3 linked regions of the Ovis aries genome follow. The protein of the gene in region 1 interacts with the protein of each later gene in a biochemical or structural test. Links are inferred from orthologs where the notes say so. Each region holds a gene or a part of one and is shown in the gene's direction. Other genes may lie near its edges. The genes, in order: CDC27, MDC1 and PTTG1.

Region 1 (9,579 bases):
ATATTGTGAAAATGAAAAACAGTGATCTGAGCTAAATAAGGTATTGTAAATGACATGTTAGAAATTTTCTATTTCAGGAATTAAACAGACTGAATTTAGAATCTTCCAATTCAAAGTACTCGTTGAACACAGATTCTTCAGTGTCTTATATTGATTCAGCTGTAATTTCACCAGATACTGTCCCTCTTGGAACAGGAACTTCCATATTATCTAAACAGGTTCAAAATAAACCAAAAACTGGTCGAAGTTTATTAGGAGGACCAGCTGCTCTTAGCCCGTTAACCCCAAGGTAAGACAAATAGAAGATACTTTAAAATGTGCTGTAATATTAAATGATCTTAGAGTAATTCCTATATTGGTAATATAAATTAATATGAACAGCAACTTCTAAATCATTATGGAAATAGAGATATTTAATAAGTCAATAATGAGTCTATTCCATTTTCAGACAATCAAGTAATAAAAATACAGTATCTGTAATAAGAATTTCATATTAAGTGTTGGAGAAAATTTTTATTTTATTTTTTTTTTTTTTGGAGAAAATTTTTAAACTTAAGCATTCCTTATTCAGCTGTTGTATGCATTAAAAGATACTCTGTTTATGACTATGCATCAGTGAATAGCAGTGAACCTCTTAAAATGTTGGGATGCTTATAATCAGTGATAGCAATGGTTAAAGTGCTGTATTCCAAAATGGGAAAGGATTGACACCTCTCAATATATGAAATGTTCTGTGAAAATTTTTAGAAATATATATGTATGAATAAATACAGGAACCCAGGCCAGAGGATGCATTTCCAAAAGAATCAAAATAAAAAATTATGTGCTAGAACAGACTGTGAATTGGGTCCCAGGGCCAGAGAATTGCTTAAATAGTATGACCATGAGATTACAAAGCTCATTGATTCCACACATGCATTCATTGGTCTCTAAGGATATTTTCTCTGTAATAGTGTCTAAATCACATAAATTCCAAGAATTTGAACTAATTTCATAATTTGGATCTTAGCTTTTACAAAGCTACTCTTCTTTATTTCTAATAAATCTCCTGAGATCTGTAGTTACTGCTCAGTTTAGTTCCTTATTTGATTTTTTCTTTTAATTTTAGTTTTGGTGGGTGGAATAGTCTATATTCACAGCTTATTTTTAATCTGCCCCTTAGATCCTCAATGCCCCCAAGACTGATTTGCCATTCTCTTCCTTTTAGACCTTCTAATTTAAGTATACTGCTGCTTTATATATGCCTTGATGACTTTTTGACACCTTGATTTCAACCTCTTCTCAGTTTTGGGATTTTGCCATTAGAAACCCCAAGTCCTGGAGATGGATCCTATTTACAAAACTACACTAATACATCTTCTGTAATTGACGTGCCACCCACCGGAGCCCCTTCAAAAAAGGTATTTTCCTTGTAAAATATAATGAATTGCTGTTGCCTTAGAGAAATTATCTAAATGTAAAAGAAGGTCATCATTATTATAGCCTCCTGGGTATAGTAGAAGACGCAAAGCTGGTTGCTCTTTTGACCACGTAAGTTTGTAACTCACAACTGTAGTTTATTTCAGCATATAGCTAATTAAGCATATTCAGATTTTTGCATTTAAGTTCCTTTTTTAAAAAACAAAATTAAGATGATCACTTTGAATGTAAATAATGGAAATTATACCTGCTGTGGTTTTTGCTTATCCCCACCAGTATATTTGTTTTTCAGTTGTACTAATATTAACATGAAAAAAGATGACTCACATAAAGCTAGCTTTTTGTGATAATAAAATTTTTATGGTGGATACTCAGGTATGGAGTTAAAGTGTAGTAAAATGAAAAATATTTCATAGAATCTTTATAGTAAATACTGCAATAAGACTGCATTGCAACTGTGACTCTTTTTATAATGTTCTTTTACTGTCTGTGGCAGTAGAGGCCAAAGTGAGGTTTATTTAAAACATATCTGTGGAAAAAAATAAATAAATAAATAAAACGTATCTGTGGTGCAGGGTATCTTAGGTGAGAATTAAATTAGGTTATATATGTAAATGCCTGTTGCTGTGCATAATGGATATTTAAGAAATGAAAGCTAAATGAGTCATACTGGTAGGCGAATGACTGCGATAGCCCTTTTACCCTCAGAGAAACATGTTTCTTCTTGTTTTGTTTTTACTCTTTTACTCCTGAACTTTAGCAGTGTTTTTTATATGATAGCTTCCTAATGAGTGATAATAGGAACTCCAAGAGTGGTAAACGTGAACTAAAAGTATTTAATATGGAAATTGTGTTTTAAACTGGATTTTTAAAAAGTTGACAACTACCTGCTGTTGTATTACTATGAAAGTGACATATATATGTGGAAATTAGTTTATTACAGTTATAAGAAGGCATAATAAGACAATGGTTAGCATGCCAGGGGAAGTAGGCCAAAACCATGAGTCAGAGTAATTAAGGACAAGTTAGGTAGTAAAGGCGTATATGGTTTCATTGCCCAGTCTAAGCCTCTTCTGCCCCTGTTCTTTTACTCTATTACAAGACATTCTTGGAAAAGCTATACTTCCAAATCTCCCTGCAGTATTAACTAAAAATATCAAACCAAGTAGTGAGTTCAGCAGATAGTTCTTTGTTAAATAAGGAAGGGCCAGAAAATAGGTGAAAATATTCAGTGGATAGTTAGTTACAGAGGAAAGAATATGACCAAGTGATAGATACAACATGACCATGCTCTCCTAGAGAAAGAGAGAGTTGCTAAGGAACTTAATTTAAAACAGTGGAACAAAGAGGGGCCAGCAAATGAAGTGGTAGAACAAATAATCAAGATACTATACTAAATATTTTAGAAATTACACAAAGTTTCAGAAGGGCGAGGCGGGTGGGCATGATCAATGATGTTAAATGTTGAGAAGGCCAAAATAAGGCTTTCAGTATGGTGAGAAAGTAATTATTAATGATTATTTATAATGTGTAATTTCAGAATTATATACAGTGACTATCACAGTAACTAATTTTTGGAGAAATTTATTGGTAGTAAAATGTTTTTTTTTCAATATTCGCTGACACAGATCACTTTATAAAAAAGTTAAGTGATGAAAATAAATAGAAATAAGGTGATAAATTAGAGAAGAGAGAAGGGACAAGCACAGTCCAGAAGATTGAACACATCAAAAAGAAATACTAATTCAGTGCAATATTCTTAGAATTTGGAAAATAACCCAGTGTTTTTTTTAATCTACTAATCTGAATTACTCTAAGACTGTCTTTATTAAGTGCCAAAGAAGGGGTATAAAATCTTACTTTATTATTTTTTATGTATACTAAATTAGATCATAACTCTTGAGAATAGTAGCTGTCTTAAAGTTTTTTAGCACTTAGCCCCAACTGGGAAAGTTACATAATAAATGGCCTCTAGGAATCTTAAGCCTTTCCTTGATAACTAAAGTCGAAAGATAAAAAGATAGTATAAAGGTAAAAATACTGAGCTTAATATGAGGAAATAGGATGATGTTCATTCTAATATATCAATAATTAATTAACCTAAAATGACATCAATAATGACATTAATAGTTTGTGTTTTCAAATGACAGTATATAATATGAAATCTTGTATTGGGGAAATGTAGATGGGTACATCATGATGTCTTTTACCACTCACAATGCAATTTATAATTCACAAACTTTAGACTTTTTGTGTTTTACAGTCTGTTGCCAGAATCGGCCAAACTGGAACAAAGTCTGTCTTCTCACAGAGTGGAAACAGTCGAGAGGTAACTCCAATTCTTGTTGCACAGACACAAAGTTCTGGCCCGCAAACAAGGTATTTATTTGGTCTCATAATTTGATATTGTTTAGCTTTTCTTGTTGTGAAACAGTTCTTCAGTTTAGGCAGGTTGTTTTGACTGCTCCAAGAATTCTGGAATGACTATTGTAAATTCTGAATATGTTAAATTTGGAATTTCCAACTTACTGAAAAAGGAAATTTAATTTTTGAATATTACAATGCAAATCAAGACAAGAGTTAGCTAAAATACCTTTTTATTCTAATTGCCTTGTGAGTTTGTTTAAACTAGATATTGTTAGCACTCCTCCAAAATAATTTTCTTTTTTTTTTATGTAACCTTCTCCACTGATCAAGTACAGATAGATTATTCTCCCCTTCCCCTATTATGCATTTCTATAAGTATATCATAGTATGAATCTGCCAATAAATCTTCAAATGATGAATCCATTTTCACACAGAAATGGTGTTAAATAAGATTTCTTTTCCTATTCAAGGCCTCAAAAATAAATTATAGCTAATATATTAAGAGAAAGCTACTTTACCTCCCAAAATAGTGAACATGTACCATAAGTCTTAAAATAGGTACACGTGTGCATATACCTTGACTATATAAAAGGCCTCAATATTTCTAAAATGCCTGGCTGGTAAGTCTCATTATGAGTGCCAACTCTCAGGTAGGTGGCAGTGATTGCCTAGGGCTCAGTGATAAGAAGGAGCCTGAGCCTCCTGCAGAGCACATTAATAGTCCAAATATATGTTAGTCTTCAAGAATATATAAACATAATTTACTGAATTATGCATTTCATTTAAACAAATATACTAACTGTAATACACATGAATTACATTAATTTTGCCTTCTTTGTATTACTAATAACTTTTTATCTTCTTAGTTGATGTATAGTTGATGTGTACCACTCTACCTTCTTTATTGCCTGTTTTAGTTTCCAACAGCTGCCCTAGCCAAGTACCACAAGCTGGGTGGCTTAAAACAACAGAAATTTATTCACTCACAGTTCTATCTGAAATCAAGGTATCGCTAGGGCCGTCACTAGGGGAGGATCCTTATCTCTTACAGCTTCTGGTTGCCCCAGGCATTCCTTATTTTGTAGTAGGCAACTCAGTATTTCCCTCTGTCTCCACGTAGCCATCTTCCCTGTGTGCCTCTGTATTCAAATTTCCTTTTTCTTATTAGGACATCTGTCATATTGAATTCGCGCCCACCGTGATGACCTCATCTTAAGTTAATTATATCCACAAAGACCATATTTCCCAAAAAGTTCACATTAAGAGTACTGGAGGTTAGGACTTCATCATATCCCTTTGGGAGACACAATTCAACCCATAACATTGCCTTATTAACAATTACTCTTTATCTTGTCGTTTTAGAGGTTGTTTTAGGGTTTATATCAGATATTTTAACTTATCAAAGTCTACCTTCAAGTAATACTGTACCATATCACTTAGAGTATAAACCTTGTAATGTATATTTTCATACTCGTCTTCTCAGTCTCTATGCTGTTGTCATATATTTTACTTCTACAGAGTGGTTAACATTTCCTGTAGTCTAGGTCTGTTGGTAATGAATTTTTTCAGCCTTTGTATGTTCAAAAGAAAGTTTTCGTTTCACCTTTGTTTTTATTTTTGATTGATATTTTCATGGTATGGAATTCTAATTGACAGGTTTTTTTCTTTACATTGCTCTACCGTCTTCTTGCTTGCATTGTTTCTGATAAGAAACTTCTTGCCATCCTTATTTTTGTTTCTGTGTATGTAATCTGTCTCTTTTCTCTGACTCTTAAGATTTTTTCTTTATCACTGATATTAATCCATTTGATTATGCTCTAGTGTGTTTTCTCCTTTCTTGGGCTTCAAATTCATTGAGCTCCTTGGATCTGTTAGTTGATAGTTTTCATCATATTTAGCTAATTTTTGGCCATTATTTCTTCAAATACTTTTACTGTCCATGTCCCCCTCTCTCATTCTGCAGAATAATCCCTTGATGTGGCTGTTTGAACTTACATGGTAATAACTTCTCAGGTATCAATTGTTCTAGTAATATTTATTTAGCAAATATCCCACATTTAGACTATGTCCAGCTTTGTTTTTCCTTAACTTTCTATAGTTCCAAATAAGGACTAAAGATAATTGGTTTATAGATGTTTACTATTTATTGACCCAGAACTTTTATGTGGATTGTTTTATGTTTGAATGAGCAATTTCAAATAGAGTGAAGATCTGTGCTATAATTTATATCATTTTATGGTAACAAGAATAGTTCTTTAAATGAGTTTTCATAGGAGGGTGAGGAAAGGATTGATCTCATCAATTTTAGAATACAAACATGTTGAATGCATATTTTTAATATACTTGAAATAATAATTAATGGTCATAAACAGGTTTTTTAAATATCTACTTTTATAATTTTTTTAGTACAACACCTCAGGTATTGAGCCCCACTATCACATCTCCCCCAAATGCACTGCCTCGAAGAAGTTCGCGACTTTTTACTAGTGACAGCTCTACAACCAAGGTAATTTAAAAATTTCTGTATGTCACATTTATTTAATACTTCCTCCTCTGAAATTTCTGTTCATCGATGACTCAGTCTCTAATGAATACATTAGGAGACCATTTAACATTTTTTTAATGTTAAAATTACAAAATTACAGAGATGGAGAGGAGATCAATAGTTACTGGGAGGTAGGACTGAGGAGAGGATGTGTCTTTTATAGCATAGCACAAAGGAATCTCTTTTTGTAGTGGTAAAATAGTCCTGAATCTTTATTGTGGTAGTTGATTAAATAAATCCATACATGTAACACAATTTCACAGAACTGTACACACCGAAATTTTTTAAAAGGTCCATGTGAAAACTGATGAAATCCAAGTAAGATCTATAGTTTTAGTTGCTAGTATTGCACCAATTCCAGTTTCCTGGATTTGATGGTATACTGTGGTTATGTCACATGTTTCCATTGGGAAGGATTGTGGGAAGAGTGAATGAAAATTTTTTCTTTGCACATTTCTTTGGACAACTGGAGAGTTTTATACCTTTGGTAAATTTTCTTCATCCATTGACAAATATTACGGACAGTCTTTAATTGTGACATATAGATCAGCAGTTTTATACCTTACAGATTTCAGTGCTCTGAGACAATTAGGTAGTTGTTGTATCTCCTTACTTTCTTATTTTTAATTAATAAATGAAAGTGATATACTTTGAATAAAGAGAAATGCTTAAAGCTAATGTAATAAATACTAGTTAGTTAATATGATTTATTTTCAGAATTGTTGCATTTTACATTAAGTGACTTTGAAGACTTTTGTTTTTATAAAATTTTCTGAGAAAAATGTAGATCAGTCAAAACCATATGTTTATTTTATATCTAATACTTGAGAAAAAGGGTTAGATAGATGTTTAAAATACATGAGTATAACAAGTTATTGAATTTTCCTTCTTGTTACAGGAGAATAGCAAAAAATTAAAAATGAAGTTTCCACCTAAAATCCCAAACAGAAAAACAAAAAGTAAAACTAATAAAGGAGGAATAACTCAACCTAACATAAATGATAGCCTGGAAATCACAAAATTAGACTCTTCAATCATTTCAGAAGGAAAAATCTCCACAATTACCCCTCAGATCCAGGCATTTAATCTACAGAAAGCAGCAGCAGGTCTGTTTTAAAAGCTTAAAATCTTCTTTATATTTTATTTTATTCACTTGTTTTAAGTAAGTTCATTTATGTTCATTAAAGAAACATTTTTTCTGGGTAGATGCTGGCATTTTTTTCCTTTTTCTTTTTTGGTCATTTTCTTATTTACTCATTTTTAGTCTTGGCTGTGCTGGGTCTTCATTGCCGCTGTGTGGGCTTTTTCTCAGGGGCTGCTCTCTGGTTGCGGTGGGTGGGCTTCTCGTTGCAGTGGCATTTCTTGTTACGGAGCACAGGCTCTAGGTCCATGGGCTTCAGTAGTTGCAGCATGTGGGCTCATTTGTTGCAGCTCGCAGGCTCCAGAGCTCTGGTTCAGTAGTTGTGGTGCGTGGACTTAGTCGCTCTGTGGCTCGTGGGATCTTCCTGGACCAGATATTGAACCTGTGTCTCCTGCATTGGCAGGCAGATTCTTTTCCACTGGGCCACCAGGGAAGCCCAGTGTTGGAAAGTTTAATGAAATATTTTTTAATTAGCCTTCCTAGAAAACCAGGCAGCTTTATTGTGTTTTATTTTCCTTTGTTTACTACATTATTTTCTCCCAGAAGGTTTGATGAGCCTTCTTCGTGAAATGGGGAAAGGTTATTTAGCTTTGTGTTCATACAACTGCAAAGAAGCTATTAATATCTTGAGCCACCTACCTTCTCACCACTACAATACTGGTTGGGTGCTGTGCCAAATTGGAAGGGCCTATTTCGAACTTTCAGAGTACATGCAAGTAAGTATTTAAAAAGTTACATATGCCTTTCTAGAGGTAATTTAAATTTAATTAAAATTATGTTTGAGAAGGCTAGATCTGAAGGGTCAGTATTTATTTTGTAATGTCTTTATTTTGTCAGTATTAATAACTTATCAGTTCAGTTCTTTCTTGTGTTAAGGGTAATTTGAATTCTTTGGGATTACTTGAGATAGATTTGTAGAGAACCAAACTAATTCTTACATGGAACATTTGTACTCTACTTACTTGGATCTGAAAATATGTATTTACCATGTAAATAGACGTTTATAATCAAAATTCTTTCTACTATATAGAGAGCTTACTGGGATGAATTTTTGGTACTTAGTATGTTTTATAAACTTAATACAATGAAGAAAGTTGTAAGTAATTGAGGATATAATGTTCTTATTGTAAGGTTTTATCATTTTAATTTTAATTATATTTGTTGCTTAAGTTATCTCTTTAAATCAGGTAAGGAGAGGATGATTAACCTAAAGCCAAAGAAAATTCTAATTTATTCCCCAGTTCTACTTTCAAAGCACTTCCTCACCCACCTCTAAACTTAAATTAGAAAAACCTTTAAAAAAAGCTTTAAGAAACCTAATATAAATTATTTAAAGTTGATAATAAGATCACTTGTTTGCCCTTTTTACTTTCAGCATGTATTTGAGTGCATATTATATCCCAGACTCTCTTCTATACTGTAATATAGCTAGACAGATAATTGCTTGCCTTCACAGAATTTACTTTCTAGCAAGTGTGCATATGCTAAGTTGCTTCAATCGTGTCTGACTCTTTGCAACCCTATGGACTGTAGCCCACCAAACTCCTCTCTGTCCATGAAATTCTCCAGGCAAGAATACTGGAGTGGGTTGCAGTGCCCTCTTCTAGGGGATCTTTCTGATCCAGGGATTGAATTCATGTCTCTTAAATCTGCTGCATTGGCAAGCAGGTTCTTTACCACTGGTGCAACCTGGGAAGCCCCCTTTCTAGTAAGAGAAATTATAGGCCAATAAATGTATAAGGACACAGCAATAAATCATATGAAGGAAAAATGAAGCATGGTAAGGAGATTGGGGAACAGTGAAGTATGGTGCTATTTTTTAAAAAAACATGCTCAGAGAAAGAAGATTATTGCTCCTTTAAGGAGCCATGCAGAGCTCTAGGGGTGTAGTATTCTTCCAGGTGGAGAATAAATCCAGAAGATACCTATTCTTGTAATTTTGAGTAATAAAGAAAAAACAATTGTAGACACCCTTTTTCATTGCTGAATTGTGATTTTTTTACTTGGTACATAGGTATAAGTGGGGTTTGGCAAGCCTTTTCAAAATTATTTGTTTCGTGGGTTCTTAACATGAATTTTTGTGTTACTCCTAATCATAGAGCAGATG
Region 2 (10,284 bases), on another chromosome or scaffold:
GAGTCCATGGTTCCGGGTTCTAGATCCACCAAGATAGCACGAGGGACATATTTGCCACCTAGAAGAAATAAAGTAGAAGAGTGAAAACTGGAAGACATAGAGATAAATAAATTGGGGCCAAGAGAGCCGGGGACCCATATGTGTGATTTCAGACACTGCCACCAGGTGGCAGCAGAGACACTGGGAAAAGCGAGAAAGGTCTCCAGTGAGTGTAGATAGATTCATTCAAAGGGGGTAAAAGGTGTCCCGGGGAGGCAGAGACCCCAAAGAAGTGGGAGAGATGGGACCCCTGCTTCCCGGGCTCTTGCCCTCACCTGTGGCTTCATTGTAGTACACGGAGATGCGGTCCAGTTGTAGGTCGCTGTCCCCATGATAGGTGCCGGTGGGGTCGATGCCATGTTCATCACTGATTACCTCCCAGAACTGCCAGGGAAGAGCAAAGAGTCTTCAGCATCTCAGGGTGCAGCCAATTATGCTCCCCTACTGCCATTTTAGCTCCAGATTCGCCTGTGGCGGGCCCTCCCCAAAGATCTAGCATTTCTTCTGCCTGCCACACCCTTCCCCTAGCCACATGCACCTTCGGGGAAAAGGCAGCTTTCACTGCCTGGGACGTGAGATGCTGTGTGGCTTAAAGGGTCCGGGGATTGCGCGGGGTGGGTAGATGGAGGTAGTCACCCTGGGCACAAAGAGACGGGGCGGGGAGGGGTGCAAAGAAAAGGAGGCACTGCAGCAGCCCACCCCGCCCTGCACGTGACCGCGGCGCACGCACGCGCCAGGCGGCCGACAAAGGGAGGTGCCGCGCGAGGGCGGGGCCGAAGGGCGAATTCCGCGCGCCAGGGGCGGGGCTTGGCTCGGGCTCGCGCGCCCCCCGCCGGCCAGCCTGGCCGCATTGTCCCAGCGCGCCAGGGGCGCCCGGGTCCCGCCCTTCTGCTACAACGTAGCAGCCGCACTTCCTCCCTGCCCCTCCCCCGCTACACTGTAACCGCGCGCAAAAAAAAAAAAAACCCTCCCCCTTGGCCTCGAAATTTCATTTCTTTGCTAGCTTTTAACCCCCTTGCTTTAAATGAGGTTTTTCTTCCTTTGTCCTATTCTCTAGCTCTGAGGAACCCCTTCAAAGAATGGACTCCCTTTCCTTCCTCGCCCTTTCTCCCTATCTGTCCACGCCCTTAAGAGTCTGTTAAGGGGAAATAAAAGGAACAAATTAGTCTAGCACATATTAGCCTTCCATGCACGAAAAACTGCGGGACCGCCCCTTGGGGATCGCGAGCGCCCGGAGATTCCTGATCATTTGTAAAGGATATCGCCCAGCCCACCTGGCTCAGCGCGCCCCTACATTTGGATCTGACCTCTCGGCAGCTGCCCGCCATCCTCGCCCCTTCCCCCCTCTGGGTTAGCCCCACGAAGCCCCGCCAAGGGGGATGCACATGGGGAAAACCTCATCCAGCTTTTGTCTCGGGCCGTTTCCGCATCTCCCTCGCTCCCCGGTCCTCGGACCGTTAGGAGATCCCCTTTCTAAGTAAAATTTTACAGAAACTCGGTTTTCCCGCCCCCTAACCCTGAAGGGTGCTTTTAACAGCTTCCCCAAAATAAGCCTGCCAAGAAAAATAATTCCTCATTTTTCAAAAGCAAATCCTAAGGTTCAAAGGTGCATTTATATATAAAAGTTTTGAGGGGCAAATCTGGACTAAGAATGGAAGATGCAAACGTTCTACAACCATCCGTCATAATATACCTGTTTGGATTTGTTTTTTTTTTCCTTAAAAATAAATACAGTCAAAAGAGGTTAAAAATCCTTACCTTGGCACCGATCTGATTGCCACACTGACCGGCCTGGATGTGCACGATTTCCCTCATTGTTAAAATTTATTCTAATCTTTTTGCTCGCCTCAAAGTATGTACGGGGCAAAAAAATAATACGGAATTAGTTTTTCTCTGCTGCTGGTCGCAGGGTGAAAAGATGGAACGGGACCCGGAGGCTGAAGCAGCGAGGTCCGAACGCGGCGGCAGGAAGGTTCTGAGAGGGAGAAAGGAGAGGGGAGGGCGCGGGAGGAAAGGCGGGCAGGGCGGGGCGCGCGTGCGCGGGGGCCGGGAGGCGGGAGAACTCTCCGCGCGCCGCGGTGGAGAGACAAAGCCTCACTAGGCTGGCCCTGATTAGTCCGTGCCGGTCCTGTATCACAAGTCCATTGGTCCTTGCTGGACGAGCGCAGTCCTGCCTGGGAGTTGTAGTTCTCTATTGTTGTCCACGCTGCAAAATGAAAGGACGAATGGGTGGGTACTGGGTCTGGGGGTTTTGGTTTAGGTGTTTTGACTGAAAAACGGCCTGGCGCTAGGGTTCCTTCCTCTATGCCTGACTCTTCTGGTATCAAAAGAGAGTAGTTTTAGCAGGGTACAGGAATTGGGAACCCTGGTGTGCCAGGCTTTGGAAGGTGGAGTGAGGGCACGCCCTGAAAGCTCCCCGCTGCGGTAGCTCTTGGGAAGACAGGACTGCTTAGCTCAGCGAAAACGGGGAGAAATGCGGCACCCTGATCTGCTATCTAACAGCTGGTCCCTGGTGACCCAACTGGCATGAACTCCAGTGAGCTCCGGCTCCCCCAGATATCTCGGGAAGGAGGAGGGCATTGCCTTCCTGCTATTTCCTTGGGAGCTTTCTAACGATAATATTTAGAAAGAAACAAAATTGCATCAAGGACTTTTCAGTATAAAAAGTAATTGTTTGGAAGGTATGTTCAAGAATAGAGAAGCAGATATGCCGGAAGTCTCCGTCCATGTGGGGAATCTGCGCCTTAGAGCAGCGTTTAACACAGTTTTGTCAAGAGGCGAACTGTGGGGTGAGATACCTGATAGGCACTTTGATGAAGTCAGTGTTTTTTCAACTCGCTGATTTCACTGAGAGGTGGTTGACCATTGCAATCTTTCAAGAACCTCGGGATTAAAATAAAAGTAGGGAGGGTGATGGGAAAAAAATGGATGAGCTCAAATCTGAGTGGCATGTTTCTTCTCAGGGATTAATTCAACTTGAGCGATATTAAATGTCCACCAAAGGAGCTAGGATGAAGGATTAGCTCACTGGTGGCTCAGGCGGTAAAGCGTCTGCCTACAATGTGGGAGACCCGGGTTCGATCCTTGGGTTGGGAAGATCCTCTGGAGAAGGAAATGGCAACCCACTCCAGTACTCTTGCCTGGAAAATCCCATGGACGGAGGAGCCTGGTAGGCTACAATCTATGGGGTCGCAAAGAGGACACGACTGAGCGACTTCACCTTCACCTTACCTCACTGTCCTCCAGGATCTTGCAATTTGGTGAGAAGTGTATAACCACTAGTGTGGTAAGCACCATGATTAAAGGACATGGGATATCAGGCTCCGTATGTGCTCAGTCATGTACGACTCTTTGCGACCCCATGGACTGCAGCCCGCCTGGCTCCTCTGTCCATGGGATTTCCCAGGCAAGAATACTGGAGCTGGTTGCCATTTCCTTCTCCGCGGAATCTTTCCGACCCAGGGATCGAACTCGTTTCTCCTGCGTCTCCTGAATTGGCAAGAGAGCTGTTTACCTATGAGGCACTTGGTTAGATGATAGCAAGGTGTTAATTCACACTGGATTCAACACACATTTCTCATCTTCTAAATAAAAGAACATAAATTTCTGTAAAACTCGTCTACCCAGTTAAAATGTTTATGTTTGAAGGCACAATCACAGTGAAAGTAGTTATTTTGTGGTAGTGAAGAGAGTTCAGAATTCACGATTAAACAGTTTCAGTTTGTCTCTAACAGCCGTAGGAGCCTAGGCAAGCTAACTTCCGCAGAACTCTTATTTCTGGTCAGAACGAAGTGAGAATACTAATGCAAAAGGTCCTCCTAAATTATTCCTGTGAAATTGTCTTAGTATGAAATTTAGCAAAATAATTTACCATTCTGTAGCCCTTCAAAGACCTCGGTCAGCCTTTAAGATGGTTAACAAAAGAGTTCTCTCCGTTTGCCTAGATATCTTTACTCTAGGATAATGACCTCAAAGTGTCCATCAGGAATGGATTCTCAGGGAGGAAATGACATGACTTCTAGATGAGCTAAATCAAAAGGAAATGAACTTCCATTGTAGTGAGTCCTCAAGCGCCACGCCTACGGGCTATTCTCCAGACTGAAGTCTTCAGCCACGACTGCAGCCCGCAACCCTTATATTTCTCATGAGTCAGCGGACACCATTTCTGGGAGGACCAGAGAAGGCGCTCTGGCCGCACTACATGCTTAGGTCGACGACTGTGGTAAGCCCCTCTATCCGCTGCTGGCATCCAGACTCTGTGGTCGCAACTTGGAAATATACGCGGGAAGTGGGTGGTGAAACCGCAGTGGGTTGTCCCTTTGGAGCTGCCCAATCGAAGTGCGCTATTCTGTGCGCCTCCGAGGCTTCCGATTACCGCCTCGTCCAACGGATCTGTCTCCCCGGAGAAGCCGCCCCTTTGAGCCGTAAGGGGGCGGGGCGGGGCGGGGGCGGGGCTCCGGCTATGCCTCCGCGTTGGATTGCTCCGTCTGCTTGCCGCAGGGCCGAGAAAGACAAAGGCTTCAGCCAATCAGCTAATCAGCCCCTTCCCCGCTCAGGCACTGGCACCACCCCTGTCGCAGCCGTTACTGGTGGCGCGCGCGGGGACTCAAAGTAGGTGAGTTCTGGGGGGCCTCGCCCACGACTCCCCGGATGCCATCTTGGTTCTCCCGGAGGGCGGGAGGGGCGTGCCTTGGTTACGACTGGGCGGAGGATTCTTGGAAATTTGCTTCTCGGATTATAACCCTCATCTTCACTTGACGGCCCTCCCTGAGTTTAGGTATGAAGACACTGGGAGAGGTTGGGCTCAGAGGGAACCCTTGGGATCGAGATCAAAGTTGAAGGCCCATTGGATTGGAGCCGAAGGTCGTGGGCGCCGCTCATTTCGCCTTCATGAAACGATGTTAACACTTTCTCCATGGAGGTGTCCCACTTTCCTTGTCTACATTTTCCCTTTAAGGTAGCATCTTTCAAATTTAATTCCCACCCATACTAGTTTGACTTTTCATCTTATTATTTCATCAGGAGAGCAGAGTTAATTTTACGTTTGACTCATGAATGTATTCGAAATATCTCTAATGGTATCAGGTACACAGTAACTACTGTTGAATTAACATGATGGACCCTTGGGGAAAAGACAGTTCTAACTGGTCCAGTTCTCAAGGGGGATGTGTGAGGCAGAAATGGAATGTAATAGTTACACTATGGTGAGACCTATTAGGATAATATAAGTCCACCAACCACCGTGAAACACTTAGGATACATGGGAAATAGGGGAAAGTACCAGAACACAGAGAAGACTAAAGGCAAGGCTTTGCTTCGAAAGTGACATTTGAGCTAAAAGGATGGATAGGAGTTGGATCACAACACTAGGGGCAACGTCCTAAGGAGCTGGCTAAGGCCTGCAGATGTGAGAGAACGAGGACAGTGTGTTCAGAGATTAAGGAGAAGGTCCATGTTGTAGAACCACAGGCTTGGACGGGGTGGGGATGGGACACACATTTCAGGAGATGAGGTTCTGATCGTTGAGGGTCTTGCTAAGGAGTTTAGATATATTTTATCCTATGGGTATGGAAAACCATCAAAGAATATTAAACAGGAAGAGACATTATCTGAGTGAAAGATACTCAGTCTTATCTGACTCTACAGTCCCTGGAATTCTCCAGGCCACAGTACTGGAGTGTGTAGCCTTTCTCTTCTCCAGGGGATCTTCCCAACCCAGGGGTTGAACCCAGGTCTCCCGCATTGCAGGGAGATTCTTCACCAGCTGAGCCACAAGGGAAGCCCCATTATCTGAGTGATCTTAGACAAATCTGTTACTCCATCCCTGTTGCAGTTTCTTTATCTGAGAAATAGAAAGTAAAATAAGGAGTTTTCTGGCAGTCCAGTGGTTAGGACTCCGTGCTTCCACTACAGGGGCAAGGGATCAATCCCTGGTTAGGGAACTAAGATCCCACATGCTGTGTGGCCTTAGTTGGGGCATGTGGGCTATAGTTCTCTAACCCGGCGTTGCACCCTGGCCCCCTGCATTGGGAGCACAGAGTCTTAGCCACTGGACCGCCAGAGAAGTCTCTCAACTCAGTTTTTGTTTGTTTGTTTTGTTGGTGTTCTGTGGGTGGTTTTTTTTTTTTTTTTTTTTTGGTTTTTTGGCCATGCAGGATCTTAGTTCCCTGACCAAGGATGGAACCTGCACCCCCCAGCAGTGGAAGTGCAGAGTCTTAGCCACTGGACAACCAGGGAAGACCCTTATATTTCTGTACTTGGAACTCTGTTACATTTCTTTCTTATTCTGTGTCATGGTCAGAGATATTTCTTAAATGCTTCAGAGGAATAACAACAGAATGATTGGCAGAAAGAGAAGCATCAGCCTCCATAGCTATCCAGGAGACTGCAGTAACCAGTCTCCTCCCTGAGGCTGTGTGTGTGAGCCACTGAAGGAAGGGATAATGTGTTTTTTTCTCAGATCATGGAAGACACCCAGATTTTAAACTGGGAAGTTGAAGAAGAGGAGGAGGTTGCAGAGAGCCCCAATGAATCTCTGGGGTATAGCTTGGAGCCCCTAGCACAGCTGCATATCTTCAGTAGTTCCTATGGACCAGAAAAAGGTCAGGAGTAATTTCATGCTAAAGTACTGGCCTCTTATTTCTGTGGGGAGGTAATAGGATGATTGCAAGCTTAGATATGCATTTGTGAGATCTGGAAAAAATGTCTTACTGGGGACATTATTATTTGGGAAGCCCAAATTTTATATATATTTTACCACAATAGAAACAATCCAGTGTAGATGGATGGAATGTTGACTATGAATAATGCATTGCACATATTCTTTATTAGCTAGTTATTCTAGGGCCTTTTATTTTTCTAATGCATGAGGGGGACCTTGAGTGAGTCGTGGGGAACTTAACAGATGTTTTTCTTAATAGCAAGTTAGGAGTATGGCTTTGGAACTCACCTACCTCTCTAATTCTTAGACTTCCCACTCTACCTTGGAAAGAACATGATAGGCCGAATGCCTGATTGCTCTGTGGCCCTGCCCTTTTCATCAATATCCAAACAACATGCAGTGATTGAAATCTCTGCCTGGGACAAGGCGCCTGTCCTTCGGGATTGCGGGAGCCTCAATGGCACTCAAATCCTGCGGCCTCCTAAGGTCCTGAGCCCTGGGGTGAGTCATCGTTTGCGGGACCGGGAGTTGATTCTCTTTGCTGACTTGCCCTGCCAGTACCATCGCTTGGATGTCCCCCGGCCTTTTGTCTCCCGGGGCCCTCTAAGTGTAGAGGAGACACCCAGGGTACAGGGAGGAACTCAACCCTCCAGGCTTCTGTTGGCTGAGGACTCAGAGGAAGAAGTAGGTAAGTTTGTGTATCAGGAGGGTGGGTGAGGAGACAGGGACGGTGAGTGTAAAACTCTCCACTTACTCATTTCTACTCATGACAGATTCCCTTTTGGACAAGTGTGTGGTGAAAGGACCAAGGACCTCCTCTTCGGCAACAGTCGTTCCAGAGAGGTGAGTGTCAAAGGGCCAGGCATCTGAGTCTTCAGATGGATGAGGAAGCAGGGGCTGGAGGAGCCATCTCTGGGAGAGCTAATTACCATCAAAGTCTGGGCTGGGGAACCACACATACTCCTTCACTCAACTGAATTTTTACTGAGCGTCTCATGTGCCAACTAGAGAATTAATTGTTGGAGACAGAACAGCAAGTACTACCTTGCGTCTGCTCTCAAGGAGTTCCTACTTGAGTGGAATATCCCTTCTGGGGCAATCGATTCTATAGGTTTCTTCTCTTCCCTTCACAGTGATGAAGAAGGGCCTTCCCCTGCCCCAGATGGGCCCGGGCCACCTTCTGCCTTCAACTTGAACAGCGACACGGATGAGGAAGAAAGTCAGGAATCAGGAGCAGGGGAGGCCTCTTCAGCTGCCAGAAGAGGTACCGCTGCAGAGACGGAACAGCCTGAACCTGTCACAGCCGAGATCCAGATTGAGAAGGATCAGTGTTCCGTGAAGGAGAGGAACGGGGACACAGAAATCGAGAGGGATGTGAGGAATGGGGTGGTTCCGACTGGAGTGATTCTGGAGAGGAGCCAGCCTTCTGGGGAGGACAGTGACACAGATGTGAGTGATGAGAGTGGGCCTCGAAGAAGGCTTGTTGGGGTCCGTCCGAAAAGGGCCTGGTCTTGTAACTTCATAGACAGTGATACCGATGGAGAGGACGAGGGGATCCCTGCTACCCCAGCAGTGGTTCCCATGAAGGAGAGGCAGATCTTCCACGAAGCTGGTACACAGAGCCCCCAGGCACCTGGTGTGGCACGTTGGCAGGGGAGCCCAGCTGATGGTGATACAGATATAGAGGAGGGGGAGGCCCCCCCAGACAGAAGCCAAGCCTCCGTGGTGATCGACAGCAATACAGACGATGAGGAAGAAGTCTCAGCAGCACTGACACTGGCATGTCTAAGAGAGAGCCAGGCTGGTAAGTGGAACCGAGATCCAGATGCAGAAGAGACCAGGGCCCAACCCGTGGCCCTTCTGGAGCGAAGCCAGGCCTCTGCTGGGGGAGACAGTGACACAGATGTGGAGGAAGAGGGGCTCCCAGTGGAAAGGAGGGGAATGGTTCCCAAGGGTTACATGGACAGGGAATATTCAAAAAAGAGCCAGCACCTTCCCAGGGACAGTGATACAGAGGGGAAGGAAGATGAGAGCTCACCGGGGGTCCACCTGGAGAGAAGCCAGGCCTCTGCACAAGTGGAGGATGAGGTCCCACTGGGGCCAGCTGTTGCACTTCCGGAGAAGCGTCAGGTACAAGGCATAGTGTGGCCACATCACACCGATGCGGAGGCAGAAGGGGACCCGGCACAGCTCCCCGTGCTGCGTCTAGAGGAAGCCCGGCCTCCTCTAGCTGGGGACTGTGAACTGGATTCGGAGAACACATCTGCTGTCAGAAAGAGCCAGCTTCCGGCGGAAAAAGATGCTGGGACCACGTGGGCTGCAGCCGTTCCTGAACAGGACAGAGCACTTGCCATCGGGACCCAGGGTGGGTCATCCACGGCACCAGGGGAGCAAGACCTTCTCCCGGTCTCAAGGGAAGACCTAGCAGATATGGTGGTGGACATAGGCACTCCAGGGGAGCCCCAACCGCAGAGAGAGGGGGCCCAGACCACCACAGGAAGGGAGAGAGAACCATATGGGAATAGGGCCACAGACTCTGGAGACAACCTCCACGGTAAGTGCTGGCCTTTCTTCCTCCCTGGAGGTCTGCGATAAAGAATGCTTCTTGCTTCTAGCGTATCTTAGTTCATGTGAGCTGCTATAACAAAAGACCATAGACTAGGTAGCTTATAAAACAACAGAAGTTTATTTTTCACAGTTCTAAATGCTGGGAAGTCTAAGATCAAGATACCAGCAAATTCAGTGTCTGATGAGGCCCTGCTTCTTACAGATAGCCGTCTTCTCGTTATGTCTTCATATGGCAAAAGGGCCCAAGGGAGCTCTCTGGAGTCTTTCTCTCATTTTTTCTAAATGACTTTATTTATTTTTGGCTGTGCTGGGTCTTCCTTGCTGCGCTGGCTTTTCTCTAGTTATGTGGAGCCAAGGCTACTCTCTAGTTGTAGTACACTGACTTCTCATTGCAGTGGTTTCTCTTGTTGAGTATGGGCTCTAGAGCTCAGGCTCAGTAGTTGTGGCACACAGGCTTAGTTGCTCCAGGGCATGTGGGATCTTCCTGGATCAGGGCTTGAACCTGTGTCTTCTGCATTGGCAGGCAGATTCTTTATCACTGAGCCACGGCTGAGCCTGCACTAATACCATTCATGCAGGCTGCGCCCTCATGACCTAGTCACCTCCCAGTCACCTCCTAATGCCCTCACATTGGAAATTAGGTTTCAACATAAGAATATTTGGGGAGACACAGATTCAGGCTATTGCATAGGATTGGGGCTGTGGAGAGAACTATAGAGAAAAGGAGTTAGGATCAGCTCTGGTTTTTTAATTATCCTGCATTCCTCCCCACCAGATTCTGAAGATCTGGACCTACCAGCTACCCAGTGCTTTGTAGACAGAAAGAATCAGAGCCTGGAAGGTGAGGCCATCTTTGTTGTGTGGATACTGGTACAAGCAGGAGCTGGGAGATTAGATTGGTGGTCCTTGAAGGATGTGAAGGCTGGCATAGGCAGCAGAGAAGACTGGGAATGGGCCCTCAGAGTTCTGTGGAGGAGCAGTGCTCAGGCCATGCTTTTTTGTGTAGCAGCCCCCAG
Region 3 (10,131 bases), on another chromosome or scaffold:
CTAACCTAATCACAACTTCAAAATACTATCACCAGAAATGTAATCCAACCAACCAGTTGGGAATTTCCCGGTCAGTACTGAAGAAGTAATCTGGCACGTGGCCCCTTTCCATTATCCCTTCAACCCCACTCTGCCTCTCAGTGGAAGAAGAGGCAATTAGCTGTGAAAACCTTGCTGTTCCTTCCTTTCTCCTCTCCAAAGAGGTCCTGGCCTATAAATAATCCTTTCTTTTAATAGCTCCCATGCCCCACCCTTTTTCCTCTAAAAATTTCTCAGTTTGTACAACCCCTTGGAGCACCCTTCTGATTTCTAGGTGGGAGGCTGTCTGATTCTTGAGTCATTTAATAAAACCAATTAGATCTTCAAATTTACTTGATTGAATTTTTTCTCAATGTTGTGCAGACTTGGTTTCAATATAAATATTTTTGTGTGCTAATGATGTAATTCAGAGCTGAGGCACTTAGAAGGAGATATAGGGAGGAAATAATGGGAGGGTTACAAAGGTCTAGTCAAAGCTATGGTTTTTCCAGTAGTCATGTATGGATGTGAGAGTTCCACCATAAAGAAAGCTGAGTACTGAAGAACTGATGCTTTTGAACTGTGGTGTTGGAGAAGACTCTTGAGAGTCCCTTGGACAGCAAGGAGATCAAACCAGTCAATCCTAAAGGAAATCAGTCCTGAATATTCATTGGAAAGACTGATGCTGAAGCTGAAGCTCCAATATTTGGCCACCTGATTCAAAGAACTGACTCACTGGAAAAGATCCTGATGCTGGAAAAGATTGAAGGCAGGAGAAGTGTTCAACAGAGATGGTTGGATGGCATCACCGACTCAATGGACATGAGTTTGAGCAAGTTCTGGGAGTTGGTGATGGACAGGGAAACCTGGCGTGCTGCAGTCCATGGGGTTGCAAAGAGTCGGACACTACTGAGTGACTGAACTGAACTAATAAACTAGGGATAAAAGAGGATATGGAAAGGGCAAAAAAGATACGCACTTTTCCTCCTCTTGGTGTCTAGCACAGTGACTAACATTTAATAAATATTTATTGAATGAATGAGCCATTCAATGTTTTGGCCCTGAAATGCCAGGGAAGAAGGGACAATGAACTGGTATATATTTGGAAACATATCTATGCCAGTTGTAGTGCTAAGGCTTTGGTGAAAGAGTAATGTAGGCTTAACTCCTCCCTCCCAACTTTCCTGCTAAGTTAAAAAGTATCTGGTGACCTGTTGGGAGTAGAGTTTGGATGGCACAGATCATCCTTGGTCTTTTGAATTGATTCCTTTATCTTGTTTAATATATTTCCATTTACTATTGAAGGACTTCCCTTGTGGCTTAGCTGGTAAAGAGTCCACCTGCAATGCGGGACACCTGGGTTCGATCCCTGGGTTGGGAAGATCCCCTGGAGAAGGGAAAGGCTACCCACTCCAGTATTCTGGCCTGGAGAATTTCATGGACTATCCACGGAGTTGTAAACAGTCAGACAGGACTGAGTGACTTTCACTTCACTTCACCATAGAAAGGAAAAGGTCACTAACTTTTCAAAGCAAAATTTCTCCATGTCTTGGAAATTGGAATTCATTTTGTATGTCTTTATAATTCCTCTGTTGTTTTTCTCTTGTTCACCCTTCTGTCCTTCCCCACCAGCTTTGATGAATATATTGTTGAGATGTTAAAGGTTTAAAGTAAGTATATTGGTACTTGCCTGGCAGTCCAGTGGATAAGACTCTGCTCTTACACTGCAAAGGGCACAGGTCCCATCCCTGGTTGGGGAACTAAGATACTGAATGCTGCGCAGCGCAGCCAAAAACAAAGTCCTTATTAACTGATAGACTTTCAAGTTCAGAATTGTGTACTCTTAGGTCATTGTTTTGTTCCTAGGGTTGCAAAGAGTCAGACACGACTGAGCAACTGAACAACAGATTCTGTATAATGGAGATAGCATCCTAGCCTGAAATACTGATAGTCTTGCAATTAGGAAAAAATCAGTACACTTAAAAAAAATTGAAGTCTAGTTGACTTACAATATTGTATTAGTTTCAGAATCACTCCATTCTTAATCACAAACACAACAGAATGACACAAACTTGCCACTTTATCTGTACTTTCATTTCTTCTTAATGTTTAATTGTGCTCTGTTAATATTCTCTAGATCTAATATGGGTTTTCCTCCCACTGACTATTTATTGACTATATATGTATTTTTTATACCTCTAATTTGAAATTCATCTTCCATAGTCATTTCCCCAATGACTACAATGCCTTTCCTCCCGTGCTGCCTCTTTTTAATTTGATCCGGTGTATCTACTCTCTGGAAAAACAGTTGATTACTTCAAGACTTTAGGAAAATAGTTCTGTCACCATCTCACTTTGACTTTTTGAAGTTCACTATCTTCTCATTTAAAAATGTCTTGGACACCAAAGACTTGGGCTTCCCTTGTGGCTCAGCTGGTAAAGAATCCGCCTGCAATGAAATTAAAGTATAATGAAATTGTGCTTTAAAAAGTTGGTGACCTTTTCCTTTCTATGGTGAAGTGAGGTGATAGTGGCTCAGTCCTGTCCAACTCTTTGCAACCCTATGGATAGTCCATGGAATTCTCCAGGCCAGAATACTAGAGTGGGTAGCTTTTCGCTTCTCCAGGGGATCTTCCCAACCCAGGGATGGAACCCTGGGGTCCTGCGTTGTAGGTGGACCCTTTACCACTTGAGCCACAAGGGAGGTCCTTTCTATGGTAAAGTGAAGTGAAAGTCGCTCAGTCCTCCTATTCGACTCTTTGCGACCCCATGGACTGCCATGGAATTCTCCAGGCCAGGGTACTGGAGTGGGTAGCCTTTCCGTTCTCCACGGGATCTTCCCAACCCAGGGACAGAACCCAGGTCTCTCGCATTGCAGGCAGATTCTTTACCAGCTGAGCCACAAGGGAAGCCCTTCTATGGTAAATGGAAATATATTAAACAAGATAAAGGAATCAATTCAAAATGAGGGAGACCTTGGTTCGATCCCTGGGTTGGGAATATCTCCTGGAGAAGGGAAAGGCTACCCACTCCAGTATCCTGGCCTGGAGAATTCCATGGACTGTATTGTCCATCGGGTCGCAGAGTCGGACACGACTGAGCGACTTTCATTTTCACGTCGCACACCAAAGAGTCTCAGGGAAAAAAAAATCGCAAAAGCCAACTCTGTATTTTGGTATAACATTAATAATAACTTTCTTGGAATTAAAGACTGTACCTACTCTCCTCTATCTCTCTGGGGGGGAGATTAAAAAACAACCATTAATAGACATCCACGACCAAGCTGTGAGAGGCTTTGATTTTTTTTCCTCCCGGGGAACAAACGAAGAACTTGCCGGGAAAAGCTTTCAGGGCGGAGCCCAGGGAGCTTAGGTTCCTACCATTGGTTCTTCCGGAGCCTCCGCCCCGCCCCTGTCCCGCCTCCTGGATGGATGAACCAATAGGGGTGTAAGTTGTGGTTTAAACGCGGAGTCTGGCGCGTCCGGTGGAGAAGAGTCTTGCGAGAGTTTGGCTGTTACTCCGAATGTGGGTGAACCGAGCGGTACCGAGTGGTTGGGCGGGCACGGTCCGGCGGCTTAGGAAGCGGGAGTAGGCTTTGTGTGTGTGTGGCGTTCGGGGCCTGGGAACCGGGGTCCGGGTGTCTGGGACCCGGGGCCTGGGATTTGGGGGCTGGGACTTCCCTGAAACGTCAGACGCGCTCGCCTGGCTTGAGCCACGGTTTTGAACTGCGTACGCGACCCACGGCAGTTTGGTTCCAATGAGTACCAGGGCCTGTGCCAGTCCCAGACCGCCAACTCTTAAGGAATTTAGGGTCCCTGACGCAGGCGTCAAGAATTAAGAGCTGGGTTAAATGCTTGTTGGCTCAAGATCCGGCTTCTACCTCTGCTTAGCTCCTGTTTTTGCGTAGATGTCCCTAGGGTAGAAAGTTGGGTCAGTGCTACACTTTAGCTTCTTTCATCTTCCCTAACTCCCAAGGTTTAACGAGTGTTTCACACCTCTAGTTGATCCAGAATGGCTACTCTGATCTATGTTGATAAGGAAAATGGAGAACCAGGCAGCCATGTGGCTCCTAAGGACGGGCTGAAGCTGGGGTCTGTGCCTTGTAAGTATACAGGCGGCTATCAGGTACACAGGTATTGTGAATCAGTGGTGGGTGTGGCTTGGAGCTGGGGAAGGCCCAAATATACTTTGTGGGCAGTTGGAGTCGTGCGTGCTAAGTCGCTTCAGTCATGTCCGACTTTTTGCGACCCTATGGACTTTGTAGCCCGCCAGGCTCTGCTGTCCATGGAATTCTCCAGGCAAGAATACTGGAGTGGGTCGCCATACCCTTCGCCAGGGGATCTTCCTGACCCAGGGATTGAACCGGAGTCTCTTAAATCTCCTGTATTGCCAGGCGGGTTCTTTACCACGAGCGCCACCTGGGAAGCCCAGTGGGAGTCGAGTTTACCCAATACTCTTACTGCCGAGTACTTATGGGTCTCTTCATGTTCAGTATCTTTTTTTAAAATTTAAGTTATTTATTTATTTTTGGCTGTGCTGGGTCTTTATTGCTACCTGGCCTTTTCTCTAGGTGCGATGAGTAGGGGATACTTTTTATTTGTGATGCCCAGGCTTCTCATTGCAGTAGCTTGTATTGTTGCAGAGCATGGGTTCTAGGGGATGCTGACTTCAGCAGTTGAGACACGTGGGCTCAATAGTTGTGGCACATGGAGTTAGTTGCTCTGTGGCATGTGGGGGTTCCTGGATCAGGGATCAAACCCCCGTCTCCTGCATCGGCAGGTGGATTCTTTACTACTGAGAAACCAGAGAAGCCCTCATGTTCAGTATCTTAAAGAGATTATTTAAGAGAGTAGTGAACTGAAATGGTGTTAGGCATAGGACCATGCCACTGTCAAAAATGGGGGTTAAGTTTGGCTGTGAGAATTAGGCCAAGTTGATAGGCACAGTCAGCTTTCAAGTTGCACAGGTGTTTACTGCTGGAATGATCTTATGGTAAGACTTTTTCTTTAGCAGTCAAAGCTTTGGATGGGAGATCTCAGGTTTCAACACCACGTGTTGGCAAAATGTTTGATGCTCCACCAGCTTTACCAAAAACTGCGAGAAAGGCTTTGGGAACTGTCAACAGAGCTACAGAAAAATCAGTTAAGACGGATGGACCGCTCAAACAGAAACAGAAAACTTTCTCTACCAAAAAGGTAAAAGTTGGCTATAATTAAAGACTAAAGCACTTTGACTCTTAAAATGACTACTGGCATCTTACCTGACACTCTCCTCTGTGAATGGAAGGAAATAGAGACTAGCAAATTAGATTAACAGAAGAGAATCATCATACAGTCTTTATTGACTTCTCTGTACCTTGAGATCACATGTATCAGGAGCAGCTGGTTAATATTTTTGCCTCACCTGTCTTTAACAAGTGTCTTAAAACAGACCAGTGAGTACTGTGAAAAGTGAAAGTGAAGTTGCTCAGTTGTGTCCTACTGTTTGTGACCCTGTGGACTGTAGCCTACCAGGCTTCTCTGTTCATGGGATTCTCCAGGCAAGAATACTGGAGTGGTTACCATTTCCTTCTCCAGGGGATCTTCCTGATCCAGGGATCGAACCCAGGTCTCGCACATTGGAGGCAGACACTTTAACCTCTGAGCCACCAGGGAAGCTTTTGAGTACTGTGAGAGAGGGTACTTTGCAAGAAGTCATGATGCTAGTATAACAGCTCAGGTGCTGCCATTCTCTTCCCCTCCTTTCAGAGCAAGCACTAGCTTTGTAGGTTATAACTTGGTAGCATGTTGACCTTTGTACATGTGTTTACAAACTGTAGGGCAGTGCATCCTAGACCGAGAGGACTTGGCTGTGAAAGATGACTTCAGCATGTGAATTAGCACTGCATTTCAGTAATTGTTTCAATGTGTATTAGGAAAAAAACAACTAGTATACTTGATGTCAAACTGTTAGGTGTGGTTTTAGGATAAAGATGTCTTTTTAAAAAAAACTGAGTTGAGTAAGAGAAATGCTAAGTGTAAGTATTGCAAGGATATAGCAAAAATGATGAGAATGTGACAGAACTGAAATGTGGGAAGCCTTGTCCTAGTAATTTCCTCTAGGCATGCACATGTGATGTGAGAATAAATCAAGACGCTACAAGCTTCCATTTTGGCCCACCACCATCATGGACTGCCTACCAGTTCCAGACTAGAGAATTATCCACGGTGGGCATCTTAAAGTCCTTGACTGTCTTTGACTGCCTCTTACTCAGTGTTGTGTATTTGAGGAAAACAAATTGGTTTTTAATATTAACCCAGTAATTTAGGTAACACTGATGGAAAATCACATTTCCAAAAGCCAAAAATGGCTTCTAGGATTAGTTTCTATTCTGGGTGATTTATGCCCATTTTCTCTTCTATTAGGTTAGGTTGGGCGATTGAGTCAATTAGCTCTGAATTAACTCTACTCTGGGGCTTCCCTGGTGACTCAGTAGTAAAGAATCCACCTGCAATGCAGGAGACTCAGGTTTGATCTCTGGGTGGAGAAGATCCCTTGGACAAGGAAATGGCAACTCGCTCCAGTATTTTTGCATGGGAAATCTCACGTCCAAAGAAGCTTGGTGGGCTACACAGTCCTTGGGATTGCAAGAGAGTCAGACGCGACTTACCGACTAAAAACAGACTCTGCTCTGTATTTTGATGATTTATGCTAACAGGTGCTAATACTTGTATTTCATCCTTACCTTTTGAGCCATGATAATTGATTGCTGAATTGTATTTGTATGTGATTTTGAGAATGAGGGATTATGGTTTCTTAGAAATTGAAAACAAATTTAAAATATGATGAAGCAATCCCATGTCTTGAAGAATCTCTCTAATCTCATGTACTAATCAGTTGACAAGGCTCCCACTCTTAAATGGATGTTTTCTTGGGTTTTTTTTAGATTACTGAGAAGACTGTTAAAGCAAAAACTTCGGTTCCTGCCTCAGATGACACCTATCCAGAAATAGAAAAATTCTTTCCCTTCAATCCATTAGGTACTCTTTTGATATTGTCCAAATGCTTTAGCTTTCAGTTTCTCTTAGGATCCAATTCAACTGTAAGTTGATATGGCTCTGAATATGATTTGTGATCTAAAACTATAACAAGGCTGTCTGAATCTGGGGTGCTTTGGACAGGTAACTTGTGGATTTATTTTTAAGGCATTATCTTAATTCAGAAGAGGAATCAGAGCAAAGATGGGAAAACATTCTTGTCCTCAAAAGCTAAAACCACCCAAGGGGAGATTACTTGTTCAGTGTTAGCAGACAGCCTTCCTAGCAAGCCCACTTTTAGAAAATGGACTTGATGTCAAGTTGAACAGTGAAAAGCAAGCCTGAAAAATCCACATAGCCAGTGAGAACATGTGCTTTTTGACTTCTTCAACCTCCTACATGTATCTGAAATATTTTCTATAATAGAGTCGGCTTTTTTCAAGCTTTAATGTACTCACATTGAGGAGAGTAGACTGTATGCCAGGCGCTATTGGCTTAGGATGTAGTGGATAACAAGGCAGGCCCCACTCTGAGGAAGCCCAAGATTTGGAGGGTAAGTCAGACACTGAACAAATCCTTTCACTTTGAGTGTGAGCCAAGGAGAAAAACAGGGCTTGTTAGGGGGCACTGAACCTAGCCTGAAAGAGCAGGGAAGTTGTTTTCTCATAAAGTGACTTTCAGTGGAGGCTTGAAGGATGTAAGGAGATAGTTGGGTGGAGAAGGGGTAGGGCTGGGCGCCAGCACCGTAACAGACAAAAGATCTTGAGGCAGAAAGAAGGACTGGAGTGGTTCTGGAAAACTGAAAAGTAGAGTGAAGGATGACACTGGTGAGGGGGTTGGTCAAATCACACAGGGTCTTTGAGATTCCTGAGCTGGTTTTTTTGCCTTTTGATCCAAAGAGCATTTAATTATTCCACTAGTATACATCTAGGCTGTTTCTGGCTTTTATATATGTTACAAAACAATTCTGCAATTATTGTTGAGAGTTTGTGAGTATACCTAGAGAGTAAACTCCAAGAAGAATTTCTGGGTCTCAAAGCTGTGTGATTAAGTTTTGATAAAATGTGGTGCATCTCATCATTACCATTCAGGAAAATGAGGTAGGTTTATGCATATTGAGGGCTTCCCAGGTAACTCAAATGGTAAAGAATCTGCCTGTACTGCGGGCGACCTGGGTTCAATCCCTGGGTTGGGAAGATCCCCTGGAGAAAGGCGTGGAAACCAACTCCAATATTCTTGCCTGAAGAATTCCTCCATGAACGGAAGAGCCTGGTAGGCCACAGTCCATGAGGTTGCAAAGAGTTGGACACGACTGAGCGACTTAACACTTTCACACTTTAAGCATATTGGCCAGGAAAGAGGACTACATACAATAGCTGTGTTGGCGGAAAGAGATATTGCTAAACTGCCTTCCAAAATAGCAGCGTAAGTTACTGAAACCACCTTCAGTGGATGAGGATGCCCGCTTTCCCCTTGTTCTCTAACTGCAAATGTTTTAAAATTGTCAGAAAGATAATTGGTATTTTGTTGTTTAAAATTGTGGTATGTGAGTGTGTCTGAGCATATTTGACTATTGGTCATTTATAGTTTTTAAATTTTCTGTTTGTATCTTTGTTTTCTCTTGATTTTTGTGACTTTCTTACACTCTGTGTCTGTGTGTGTAAAGAACTGTCTGTATAAAGATAATTAGCCCTGTGTGTTGCAGACTTATTTCCTCTGGGGTCTTATGTCTGTCTGTTTTCCTTTACAGTTCAGTGGTTTAAATTAAGTGGTCACATAAACTGTTTCTTAAATTTCTTTTAGGACTTTTACACTCTTAAAAATTAGTGAAGACCCCAAAGAACTTTTGTGTGTTGTTTTATATATCCTATATTTTAAATTAAAATTGAAAAGTTTAAAAGTGTTAATTTGTTAAAATACAGTAAACCCATTACATTAATGTACATAGCTTAAAACAAAATTTAATGAGAAGAGTGGCGTGGTTTTATGTTTTTGAAAATTTGCTTAATCTGGCTTAACATAAAACAGCTAGATTCACATGGGATTGTGCATTCCATTTGTTGAATCTGCTTCTGGTTGATGTATATGAAGAAAATCTGGCCTTTTGCAGCCATGGTTAGGAAAAGAGAAACATTTGAAGTCTTTTCAGAGAAGTATAGATAGTTTTCTTTGCTATTACACTAAAATTCAACTTGTGGCTGCTTCTGTATGCATAGTTGCAATGTAGAATCTGAAACCATTTCAGTAAGCTTTGTAATATTCTCTGACACAAATCCATTGTCTGTTTTGCACTTTGAATGTATCTTTTATCCTGCATTTGTCACCATTGATCATTTAGAAATACTGGTTTGCTGGGAAATGTAGTGCATCCACAAGTTGAAATGTTTCTTTATGCGTGTCAAAAGCACACTCATTAATGCTTACCACTGACCTCATCGGAAAAGTCTTCAGGACTAGGAAGCTGTCAAGCTAATGATTCCAAATAAGTTTTCTGAAATTCTAGGGGTTTTATTCCTCTTGAAACTGTGGATTTTATCACTGGCAACAAATACTTCTCTTGAACTGGTAGACTTTCATTGCTTGAAGAAAATGTGCAACACATATCCACGTCCGAGTTACCAAAGTTTGTTTTTCAGTTCGTTATAGTAAATGGTGTCCAGAAGTAACACCTCTGGTTTAGCTTGCAAATCAAATAATTGCACATATCTTTTTTCTTGGAAAACACCGCGGTACTTCAGTATATGATTTCACAACTTATACAGAATACTAAAAAGACATGTTTTCAAGGGTTGAGAGCTCATAAAATTAATACTTTTTTTACTGCATATGGTAAAGTGACATGTGAAACAGGCACTTTTTAAAAATACCAGTGAATGGTAGTGAGAAATATACTAAATATTTATTGCCACTGCCTTGATTTGTGCTAAGGCACAGAAGTTTTATCCTCTGTTGCTTTTGGATCACTATTGCAGATGTCAACACAGTGGGAAAAGGTATTAGTATTATTATGAAAATAGTTTGAGCTCCTGGGCCCCATGAAAGGGTCTCAGACTGGCAGGGTGCCACTCACCACCCTGAGAACTGCTGCTCTGACAAA

What was found.
Region 2: the proteins of CDC27 (region 1) and MDC1 form a complex in vitro, tested with the Homo sapiens proteins (2 studies listed by BioGRID). The link is inferred for Ovis aries from reciprocal best matches to the Homo sapiens genes CDC27 and MDC1.
Region 3: the proteins of CDC27 (region 1) and PTTG1 form a complex in vitro, tested with the Homo sapiens proteins (3 studies listed by BioGRID). The link is inferred for Ovis aries from reciprocal best matches to the Homo sapiens genes CDC27 and PTTG1.

The regions. Positions count from the first base shown.
Region 1 is NC_056064.1:45,950,940-45,960,518, reverse strand, and holds part of CDC27 (cell division cycle protein 27 homolog), read left to right. Parts: intron 1-77; coding exon 78-289; intron 290-1,285; coding exon 1,286-1,400; intron 1,401-3,664; coding exon 3,665-3,798; intron 3,799-6,192; coding exon 6,193-6,292; intron 6,293-7,229; coding exon 7,230-7,437; intron 7,438-8,015; coding exon 8,016-8,188; intron 8,189-9,579. UniProt on the Homo sapiens protein: Component of the anaphase promoting complex/cyclosome (APC/C), a cell cycle-regulated E3 ubiquitin ligase that controls progression through mitosis and the G1 phase of the cell cycle.
Region 2 is NC_056073.1:27,416,622-27,426,905, forward strand, and holds the start of MDC1 (mediator of DNA damage checkpoint protein 1), read left to right. Parts: upstream 1-4,615; 5' UTR 4,616-4,954; coding exon 4,955-4,996; intron 4,997-6,499; coding exon 6,500-6,641; intron 6,642-7,007; coding exon 7,008-7,388; intron 7,389-7,473; coding exon 7,474-7,543; intron 7,544-7,833; coding exon 7,834-9,254; intron 9,255-10,043; coding exon 10,044-10,109; intron 10,110-10,274; coding exon 10,275-10,284. Other genes in the region: TUBB (tubulin beta chain), read right to left, coding at 1-58, 315-423, 1,798-1,854. UniProt on the Homo sapiens protein: Histone reader protein required for checkpoint-mediated cell cycle arrest in response to DNA damage within both the S phase and G2/M phases of the cell cycle.
Region 3 is NC_056058.1:69,562,867-69,572,997, forward strand, and holds the start of PTTG1 (securin), read left to right. Parts: upstream 1-3,505; 5' UTR 3,506-3,617; intron 3,618-4,019; 5' UTR 4,020-4,029; coding exon 4,030-4,120; intron 4,121-5,028; coding exon 5,029-5,213; intron 5,214-6,943; coding exon 6,944-7,037; intron 7,038-10,131. UniProt on the Homo sapiens protein: Regulatory protein, which plays a central role in chromosome stability, in the p53/TP53 pathway, and DNA repair. Probably acts by blocking the action of key proteins.